Linked DNA regions of Cricetulus griseus. The protein of the gene in region 1 interacts with the protein of each later gene in a biochemical or structural test. Links are inferred from orthologs where the notes say so. Each region holds a gene or a part of one and is shown in the gene's direction. Other genes may lie near its edges. The genes, in order: Rad51ap1, Rad51 and Dmc1.

Region 1 (3,652 bases):
CAGAGGGCACCTATGGATTCAGTTCTTTATTCAGCTCTGTTAGTGTCCCACACATACATTTCTTTGCTTGGCACATAAAGGAGCTTGGGACTTACTCTGTGACAGCAGGATGCTATGCAGTAAGAGTCCAATCTTGATCAAATGATCTGTACAGTCCTAACACTCCAATTCCTTAGCTTTTAAATCTAAATTTCTTTCTTTTTTTTTTTTTTAAGATTTATTTATTTATTACATATACAGTGTTCTGCCTACATGCCAGAAGAGGGCACCAGATTGAATTGTAGATGGCTTTGAGCCACCATGTGGTCGCTGGGAGTTGAACTCAGGACCCCTGGAAGAACAGCTAGTGCTTTTAACCTCTGAGCCATCTCTCCAGCCCTAAATCTAAATTTCTTGAATGTGACCTAATGATGATAATTTATGTGACCTATTAAGATTAGAAGCACCAACCTTCATAGAAAGTTCAGTAGACTTCAGGGTATGACTTCTAGATTTCTCTGTGATTTTTCACCTCTGAATTTTTTTTTTCTGTAACTGTGTAGCATATGATGATGTGGGTGAGTCTTTTAAAGTTATTTACTTCTTTAAAAATCAACCATTTTGATTGAGAAGACTATGAATCAGGAATCAGAAATTTCGAGAGTGTCATCGTATACTATATCTAAAATTAGGGGAACAGAACTCATCTCAAAAGACTGGAATGTATAGCAGGAATTTTTCTTAGAAGTAGCACTCATTGAGTAATGTTCTTCATCGCATAGGGACTTAATGTTATCAACATCATCATTTAAAGGTTCTCTAAATGCTTGAGACTGGTCTTGTTTTATGGTGTTAAATCTGAAATGCAGGATGCATGCACACTGTGTAAACTTTCTAACTCCTTATTGTTCTTTAGGTTGTAATGATTGGAAAGAGTTTGTATCAGTTTCTTCTCTGTTGCTGTAATAAAATACCATGACCAAGAGCAGTTTATAGAAGACAGTTTATTTTGGCTTGGGTTCCAGAGAGGTTAAGAGTTTCTAATGGCAGGGAGAGCATGGCAGCAGGTACAGGAGCAGAAAGATGGCTGATCCTATTCACACCCAGGGAGCTGAGAGAGTGACTTGGAAGGGGACTTAAGGCCTCCAGTGACTTCCTTCCTTCAGCAAGGCTCCACATCCCAAACAGTGCTGCCAGTGGGGCTCAAGTGTTCAAATATGTGAGCTTATGGGCACAGTTCTCATTCAAGCCACCACAGAGCTTAAATTGGCATGAGCATGATTTGTCCATACAGAAGTAATATTTATTGACTGTATTGGTCATAAAATAAGCAGTTCCCACTTGAATTTAATCTTCTGCAATAATCATATAAGACATTATCTTCTTATTATAGACAGGGAAATTAAATGTAGGGAAGATAAGCATGTTTTCATATGGAATCTGACTGTAAACCTGAATCTTATTTTAGAGCCCAAACTCTTGATATGTGCTAGCCCCTCCATGTAAAACCACTGGGCTGCTGTGAGTCTGGGATGGCTCATCCAGTCTGTGTGTTTGTATGTTCCAGTGTGTGTTTGTCTGTGAGTCTGGGGTGGCTCATCCAGTCTGTGTGTTTGTATGTTCCAGTGTGTGTTTGTCTGTGAGTCTGGGGTGGCTCATCCAGTCTGTGTGTTTGTATGTTCCAGTGTGTGTTTGTCTGTGAGTCTGGGGTGGCTCATCCAGTCTGTGTGTTTGTATGTTCCAGTGTGTGTTTGTCTGTGAGTCTGGGATGGCTCATCCAGTCTGTGTGTGTGTGTGTTTGTATGTTCCAGTGTGTGTTTGTCTGTGAGTCTGGGGTGGCTCATCCAGTCCGTGTGTTTCTATGTTCCAGTGTGTGTTTGTCTGTGAGTCTGGGATGGCTCATCCAGTCTGTGTGTGTGTGTTTGTATGTTCCAGTGTGTGTTTGTCTGTGAGTCTGGGGTGGCTCATCCAGTCCGTGTGTTTGTATGTTCCAGTGTGTGTGTGTCTGTGAGTCTGGGGTGGCTCATCCAGTCTGTGTGTGTGTATGCTCCAGTGTGTGTTTGTCTGTGAGTCTGGGATGGCTCATCCAGTCTGTGTGTGTGTGTTTGTATGTTCCAGTGTGTGTTTGTCTGTGAGTCTGGGATGGCTCATCCAGTCCGTGTGTGTGTGTGTGTGTGTGTGTGTGTGTGTGTGTGTGTGTGTGTGTGTGTGTGTGTGTGTGTGTGTGTGTGTGTGTGTGTTCCAGTCCGTGTGTGTGTATGCTCCAGTGTGTGTGTATGCAGTGGGCCATCCTCCTGCTCTTTAGACCCTGACTGACTGGGATGCATCTGAAGTTCCTTGCTTACTTCCTATGCTAGGCACTGACAGCCAAGGTGATAGGAAAACAGAAATATCGGATAAGTCTCCTCCTATCTCCAACTGCAGTGTAACCAGTGTTAATTCAGGTAAGTTTTGATGTTAATAACGGTTCATTCACAGTGCTATTTTTCTTACTTGTTTAAGTTCCTGTGCCTGTAGCTAGAACAAGGTCTTCCCATGTCCCAAGGTTCTCTATCCCCTGGCCTTTGTTTCTTTATGCTTTAGTCTTACTCTTTCTGACTGCACACCTCCTTTCTTCCCCACTGGACAGTCATGACCACTCAGGCCCTCCACTGCACAGCAGGTGACCACTCAAGGGCTGCATCTTCCCAGTACCATCTGGAAAATTCTTTGGCATGACTCTTTAGAGTCTCAGACTAACCCTTAAAACCAGAGTCTATTGCTGGGAGAGTGATAGACTTCATCCCAGCGTAACCTGTGTAGTGTGTTATTGGAAGCAGACGAAGACAACAGTCTACCCAGAGTTCTCACTGACGTTCCTGTCTCCAGAAGATTTGGACAAGATTGTGGAGGAGGAGGATGCCAGCAGTGTTGAAGGGGAGAAAAAAATAACATCTGAAGCTGAGGCTCCGCAGAGGAGGGTGCTCTCTGAAGACAGTGATGGCAGCAGTGCTAATGACACCGAGCCGGACAGTGCAACTGGTGAGCTACACCCCCCCCCTTCAAGCTCATTCTGTGGGGATTCAGTAAAAACTTTTTGGAGAGCAGGGTGTGTGCAAAGCACTGTGTTGAGCCTTTGACATCGGTAAACTCACAGAACAGTTAAGTTGAGCTCAGCCATAAAGAGAGAAACTGTGTAGGGTAACCTTTAACCTTCTCTGGACAGACAAGCAGCATTAGAAAAACCAAGGACAAAGTCACATTTCTGACTGAGGGAAAAGCATGAGCAGTGGGACAGACAAGCACATTCAGGGGGAACTCTTGGGAAGAGGCCGAAGAGACAGTCTGGTCCGCCACTAGCTGTGAAGCAACTCAACCTTTCTAACAGGTTCCAGCTTTTCTATAACTAGGAGAAACTTAGGAAGTATTTTGAGTTGAAAGTGGTATGAAACAATTTTATTATCAGTTGCTTGAAGACTTAGTAGAAATTAGGGCAAAGAGAAAATATGGTGACTTGGACAACATCGTAATGTTCAAAATCTAAAAGAAGAAGTCTGTACCAGTCAGATAGAACATTTTAGATTTTAACCTTCTGTCAGCTATTAACAGACCTGTTCATAAACACTCACTGAACAAATATTTGATGCCTATAATGTTTACTATATTCTAGTTGCTAGGCAGACAGTAATGAGCA
Region 2 (3,603 bases), on another chromosome or scaffold:
GGTAGTTTAAGACAGGGTTTCTATGTGCAGCCCTAGCTGTCCTGGAACTCCACTCTGTAGAACAGGCTGGCCTTGAGCTCAGAGATCCATCTGTCTCTGCCCCCCAAGTACTGGGATTAAAGGTGTATACCAGTATTGTCCAGCTTTGTTTGTTTTTAATGTAGTGATTTTTTTTTGGTTTGTTTGTTTTTAAGATTTATTTTTACTGATATGTGTGTTTCTGTGAATGTATGCCTCATGTGTGGCAGTACTTACAAGGTCAGAAGAGGACTAGGACCCCCTGGAGCTAGGGTTACAGGCCATTGTGAGCTTCCCAGTATGGTTGCTGGGAAACAAACTTGAGTCCACTGGAAGAGCAGAAAGTGATCTTAACTGCTGAGTCATTCTCTAGCCCCAAGTTCTTTTCTTCTAAAAATATTTTTGTGTGCCTGGTGGTTCAGTGGTGGTGTTTGCCTATAATCCCAGCACTCTGGAGGTAGAGGCAGGCATACTTCTGTAAGTTCAAGGCCTGCCTGGTTTACAGAGCTAGTTCCAAGACAGCTAGGGCTGTTACATAGAGAAACCCTGTCTTGAAATAAGCTCCTCCCCCCACAAAAAAAATTGTGTGTATTTTGTGAAGGACCTGTGTAAGTGTTTGTGTGTACACACTCATATGTGATGTGGGCATGCATATGACTTGGCTCATATGTGCAGGTTAGAGGGCAGTTTTGAATATCAGTTCTCACTATCTCATTTGAGACAGCACCTCCTCATTATCCTCTCCTTGCATACCTGGCCAACAAGTCCACAGGCTTCTAGAAACACTTCCCTTCTTGTTGTAGATGCACTGAGATTACAAACACGTGCTACGTTGACTGGCTTACATGGGCTCTGGGGGCTTAAACTCAGGTCCTCCCACTTATAGACAAGTCCTTTACCCACCATGCCATCTCTGCTCTTCAGTTTGTATTCTGGCACAGTTGTTTATGGTTTCAGTGAAAAATGAAGCTATGGCTGGAGGTATGGCATTTTTTTTCTAAATACATGAAGCCCTTTTTAGTCTCAAGTGTTGTGAAAACCAAAAAACCCCAGAGTTACTTTTGGTCAAGTCAGCTGTGGTAGTTTAAATGTAGCTTCCGGGGGTGGCACTTTTAGGAGGGGTGGCTTTGTTGGAGTGGGTATAGCCTTGTTAGAGGAAATGTGTCTTAGTTCACTTCCTGCTGCCTGGGGATCAAGACTTTCAGCTCTTTGTCCAGCACCAAGTCTGCCTGTGTGACACCATGATGATAATGGACTAAACCTCTGAAACTATAAGCCAATTTCAATTAAATGTTTCCTTTGTAAAAGTTGCCAAGATCATGTGTCTCTTCACAGCAATAGAAACACTGAGACATCTGCCAAAAACAAAACAGAAGATACCCACAAAAGGGCTTCTCAGATAGGACATTTTAATAAAATAAATGTGAATGTTTGCCAGGTAGCAGTGGCACACGTCTTTAATCCCAGCACTCAGAGGGGACAGAGGCAGGTCTTTTTTGTTGTTGTTTTTGTTTTTTCAAGACAGGGTTTCTTTGTGTAGCTTTGGAGGCTGTCCTGGAACTCACCACTCTGTAGACCAGGCTGGCCTCAAACTCACAGAGATCCACCTGCCTGTGCTTCCTTAGTGCTGGGATTGAAGGTGTGCGCCACCACCACCTGGCAGAGAAACCCTGTCTTGAAAGAAAAAAAAGTATGTGCTTGTGTTTAACTAGGAAGTCGGTGTCAGTGGCTCTTATGTTTTATCCTAGCACTTGGGAGACTGAGACAGGAGGATCATAAATTTCAGAACAGCCTGGGCTACATAAGTAACAAACCCTAGAGTCAAAAAAAGTGGAAAATGTGCAATATATGTCAAATTTTAGAGTGGTGGGGAAGGGAGAAGATTCTGACAAAGAATTGTTTTTCTTATAGATATGCACTGCTTATTGTAGACAGTGCTACTGCCCTCTACAGAACAGACTACTCAGGTCGAGGAGAGCTTTCAGCCAGGCAAATGCATTTGGCCAGATTTCTGAGGATGCTGCTGCGACTTGCTGATGAGGTAAGCTGTAGTAAAGAAACCAAGAATTCAGTGGCTACAAATTGTAGGAGCCTCCTGAGGACATTAGTACCTTATATTATTAAAGATGAGCATTAGTTAGCCATTGCTTTGTTGTGAGCATTAATGTTTTGGTATGTCTGTGGTCCCAAACTGACATTCTTTCCCTTATCAGTTTGGTGTAGCAGTGGTAATCACCAACCAGGTAGTAGCCCAAGTGGATGGAGCAGCCATGTTCACTGCAGATCCCAAAAAACCCATTGGAGGAAACATCATTGCCCATGCATCAACAACCAGGTGAGGCTCTCTGGGATGGGTGTCACATACACTATGATGATAGACATAAAGTAAAACACTTCCACTTCAGCCCTCTTAATGTTGCTACAGGATAGACACTTAGGAAGCCTCACTAAATTTGTTGTGCAGATGGAGAGATGGCTCAGTGATTATGAGCATGTTCTGAGCTTATAAAGAACCTGAGTTCAGTTCCCAGCACCTACAAGTGGCTCACAACCTCCTGTAACTCCAGCTCCAGAAGATCCGACAATTCTGGCCTCTGACAGGCACCTGCACATAGCCACATACAGACACAAAGCACCTGCATATAGTAAAATCTCTCACTTGCGAGGAAAATACATGAATATTTGATATGCCTCCTTAATTATATAATTATATAATAATGTTTGCTTCTTCAAGCTTTTCAATAACGGAGTCATGGCAGAAATGGATTCCTCTAAAAAAAAAAATCCTATAAATCCTTTTAGGAAGTTACACATGTCTGTAACAGTTAGTTCTGTCATGGGAATAGCAATGTTTATAACTTGGTGTTTTGGTCTGTCTTTGGGTCAGGCTGTACCTGAGGAAAGGAAGAGGGGAGACCAGAATCTGCAAAGTCTATGACTCTCCCTGTCTCCCTGAAGCTGAAGCCATGTTTGCCATTAATGCAGATGGAGTAGGAGATGCCAAGGACTGAATCATCAGGGCCTTTTTTCTGTGATAATCTTTTAAATGCTAAATAGCCTAATGAAGAGGACTGCTCTCTGGGCTTCTTCAGGGCTCTTCCTGATGTGACTACCGGAACATGGCTTCCAGGAAAAACAATTATTGTATCAGCTTTCTGGTGGCAGAAACAGGAGACAGGTCAGTATTCAAACTGATCTGATATGTTCATTTTTTATAGAGTATATTTCTTATAGAGTATATTAATGTCTGATTTCTTTGGTGTTTGGAGGAGAGATATGAAATAACAGCTATCAGTCTTATGTTTCAAGAGAAGTAAAGCTGGAAAGACCTAAGTTTTCTCTCACTTCTCAATAATGGTAAAATAAAATGCCTGAGATGTTTAACAGTGGGAATTGGTGTTTGCCACATTCTTTTTCTCTATATGTAAGATGCAAACTGTAAAATTATATGACTGAACTCTCACATAAAAAAAAATGTTTTGGTTAAGGAGTCTTGCATGAGGCATCAGCTATATAGTGCACCTTGTAGCATTTATCTAAATTGTTCTTGTATTAATAAAAACTGGGGAGTCAGATATTTGGGTT
Region 3 (3,652 bases), on another chromosome or scaffold:
ATTTCATTTAGGAATCTTTTTTTCAAGACATTGACCTGTTACAGAAACATGGAATTGTGAGTAATTTTTCGGTACAATATTAAACAGTCTGTTCCATTTTCTCAGCTTTGTCCTTACCAGCCCAATATAATTATTTTTTGATGTTTGTTTGTTTTTTGTTTTTTTTTTGTTTTTTTTTTTTTTGTTTTTTTTGTTTTGAGACAGGGTTTCTCTGTGGCTTTGGAGGCTGTCCTGGAACTAGCTCTTGTGACCAGGCTGGTCTCGGACTCACAGAGATCCACCTGCCTCTGCCTCCCGAGTGCTGGGACTAAAGGCGTGTGCAACCACCACCCGGTCCCAGTATAATTCCTTATTGTGAAGAGGAGCTGTCTGTCTTAAGTTGTTTAGCAGCATTCTTGGTGTTACAGAACAATTTAATCTCAGTATATGAGAACTGACCCCCCACGGGCCAGAGATTGAAACAAAGAAGCAGTCAAATCTAAAGTTGTACAGAATATAAATAAGGGGAACTTACTAACAGAAATGTGGCCCTGGATGGCAACAAGCCCAAGGAGAGCCCAACAAGTTGAGTTAGAAGGATATATTGGCTAAAAGTGACTTCATCAAAGCTGGAATGGGCTGGTTGATCTTAAGCTAATACCAAAGAGACACACTCCAGTGCCTGGTAATAATAAAACCCCACACACCTCTCTAGTTGTTTGGTCTGTTTATAGTATGCTTGAAAATTATACAGGAAAAAGGAACAACCAATTAGTGTTACTCTGGGAAATCATGGAGTTACAACTCACAGATCTCTGTAGTCACATCAAACTGAATTCATACACCTGACCTCTACTCATGCATTTAATGCCAGTAGTACTCTACCTGTGACAACCAAAGATGTCTCTAGACACTGTTGAGGATTCCCAGTGTTTAAAAACCAATGGTTCAGCTGGGGGCATTTGGAGCATCTCTAAACAACCACCGCCACCCCTTGTCTCTCTAAATTTAACATTAGGTAGACAATGCTTTTATTTACAGAAAATCCTGTTTGTCCCAATGACCAGGGTAAATCATGGTGGCAGAAATGTAGACTATCAAAATTTGTGGATGTCAACAGCAATCATTGGTGTTAAAAGTTTGCTGAAGTTGTCTTCTGAAGTCTTCATATTAATCTCTTTCCATTGATTTTAGAAAACAAGCAGGAGAAAATCCCAGTCTTTTGATGATGTAGTTATTTGTGTTCTTCAGGAGCAGAAGGAAAAAAAACTTTGAAAAATGTAGAGAACATATTGGTAATGAAGTTCTGTAGAAGGAAGAGCTGAACTGAGGGGGTGAATGTGTGACAAATTTGCTGGCTTTTCCACCAACAGACTTTTCTTTTTAACTTCTTGCTACACTGCCATGGTCTCACTAACATTCTTGGGAAAATCAGGGCACAGCCAGAACATTTGGCAACCTGCTGGGTATGTTCTACTCTGATATTTCCAGAACATTTGGCTAAGTGGTGGGTGGGTTCCACCTGGTTGCTTGTGTAAAATTAGCATCATGATGGAAGGAGATGGACACGAAGCTCATGACATAGTACAGGAGACTTTCAGGCTGGCATTTTATCAATCTGCTATGCCCATTCTTTTATTTCAGAATATGGCTGATATTAAGAAACTGAAGTCTGTAGGAATCTGTACCATTAAAGGGATACAAATGACAACAAGAAGAGCCCTCTGCAACGTCAAAGGGCTCTCAGAAGCCAAAGTGGACAAGATTAAAGAGGCAGCCAACAAACTTATTGTAAGCCAAATTCATTTTTTTTTTGCTGTTTTAGTTTAGCAGAGTTGTCTTTGTAGCCTATATCATAAACACTAGAAACTACAATAGGAACCTTAAGTTCCTGTAGATCACAATATATTATACTCCCAGTGTTACCTGCTTATTACCTCAATCCCAAAGCCACAGCAATTAGTTTCTGGAAGTCTAAGGTAAGCATAGAAACATAGACTGGCCCTGAGATTCATTCCTAGAACCCACATGATAGAAATAGACACCACAATATCACCCCTAATACACACACAGTTAAACACTTAGAGTTAAAGTAATTAAAAATCTAAAAAGAAAATCTGGTTTTATTTTGTTTTTAAAGATACTTGGAATACTATTGAAGGTAATTACTTTACCAAAACTTTTTCTCTGCCGTGTGTTTGTTTTTATCTGTCCCCTCCTTAGTTTGGTCTTTTTTCTCATATATGCCTATAGCAGCTCAGAAGCTCAGTGTTAAAAGAATTTTCTCTTTCCTGGAATAGGCCAGGTAAGACAGCCCTGGATTGGAGAAAGATTAGCATCAGCTGGGTCTATGTGTGTGCAGCTGAAATAGATATAACCATGAATGTGTTCAATGTGTTACATGAATGAGGCAACCGAGTTCATAATCTATACCTTTCATTGGCACCATGGACTGAAAGTAGTCAGGCTGTCAGGAAAAGGCATATAGCCTTAGACCTGAATTCTCCTGTAGAGTTATGGGGATCATCAGAGGACCCTATTTTTAGTGTAGAAATAGGAATGTACAGAAAAGTAGTCACCAAGTAGCCCTCTCTACAGAAGACCAAGGCTTTCTATTTATCTGTATGTTGGCAGGTGTGTGTGGGGGCTACTTGCACTTAATGGCAACAAGTGGAAGTCAGAGAACAATTTTGTGGAGTTGACTCTCAACTTTGACCTTTAGTTGGGTTTTGGGATTGACCAAGGTCAAGTTCAAACCTTGCTCTTTTACCCAATGAGTCATTTTACCATCCCCCATAGTCATCTTATCTTTAAAAGCTAAATCTCGTTATTTGTGTGTGTGTGTGTGTGTGTGTGTGTGTGTGTGTGTGTGTGTGTGTGTGTGTGTGCAGGTATGTATGCATATGTGTACACATGTGTGGAAACCTCATATATAATCCCTTGGGCACCATTTACTTTTTTTGGGGGGTAGGGTTTCTCACTGTCCTAGTACTCATGAAGTCGGCTAGGCTGACTGTCCAGTGAGCTCCAAGAATCCACCTTGTCTGTCTCCTTCCTTCATGCTTAGATTACAAGTGCACTACTTTCTGTTTTCTTTACATGAGTTCTGGGGACTGAATTTAGATCCTTGTGCTTGCATAATAAAAGTTTACTAACTGAACTATCTGTCTGACCCCTAAATCTCAAGTGCATGTATGGTGTATATACATGTGTTCGGATACATGTGCCTATTGTGCATGTAGAGGCATCCTGGGTCTTCCTCTATTACTCTCCACCTTGTTTTTTATTATTTATTTATTTTTATTTTATGTACGTTGATATTTTGTCTGTATGATGGTGTCAGATCCCCTGGAGGTAGAGTTTCAGGCAGTTGTCAGCTGTCATGTGGGTACTGAGAATTGAGCTCAGGTCCTCTGGAAGAGCAGCCAGTTCTCTTAACTGCTGGGCCATCTTTCCAGCCCTTCTGCCTTGTTTTTGAGACAAAGTCTCTTAACAGAACCTGAGGTTTAGTTTTGGCTAGCCTGGCTGACCAGTGAGCTCCTGGGAGCCACCTCTCTTCATGTCCCAGTGCTGGGTTACAAATACAAACAGCCATACCAAGCTTTTTACATAGCTGCTGGGGATTTTAACTCAAGTTTTCTTGCCTACATAGCAACCATAAATTTCATTATTC

What was found.
Region 2: the proteins of Rad51ap1 (region 1) and Rad51 form a complex in vitro, tested with the Homo sapiens proteins (6 studies listed by BioGRID and IntAct). The link is inferred for Cricetulus griseus from reciprocal best matches to the Homo sapiens genes RAD51AP1 and RAD51.
Region 3: the proteins of Rad51ap1 (region 1) and Dmc1 form a complex in vitro, tested with the Homo sapiens proteins (2 studies listed by BioGRID and IntAct). The link is inferred for Cricetulus griseus from reciprocal best matches to the Homo sapiens genes RAD51AP1 and DMC1.

The regions. Positions count from the first base shown.
Region 1 is NC_048601.1:19,527,632-19,531,283, forward strand, and holds part of Rad51ap1 (RAD51-associated protein 1), read left to right. Parts: intron 1-2,336; coding exon 2,337-2,423; intron 2,424-2,781; coding exon 2,782-3,000; intron 3,001-3,652. UniProt on the Homo sapiens protein: Structure-specific DNA-binding protein involved in DNA repair by promoting RAD51-mediated homologous recombination.
Region 2 is NC_048599.1:59,354,214-59,357,816, reverse strand, and holds the end of Rad51 (DNA repair protein RAD51 homolog 1), read left to right. Parts: intron 1-1,929; coding exon 1,930-2,059; intron 2,060-2,231; coding exon 2,232-2,353; intron 2,354-2,905; coding exon 2,906-3,029; downstream 3,030-3,603.
Region 3 is NC_048595.1:376,761,037-376,764,688, reverse strand, and holds part of Dmc1 (meiotic recombination protein DMC1/LIM15 homolog), read left to right. Parts: intron 1-11; coding exon 12-56; intron 57-1,623; coding exon 1,624-1,770; intron 1,771-3,652. UniProt on the Homo sapiens protein: Participates in meiotic recombination, specifically in homologous strand assimilation, which is required for the resolution of meiotic double-strand breaks.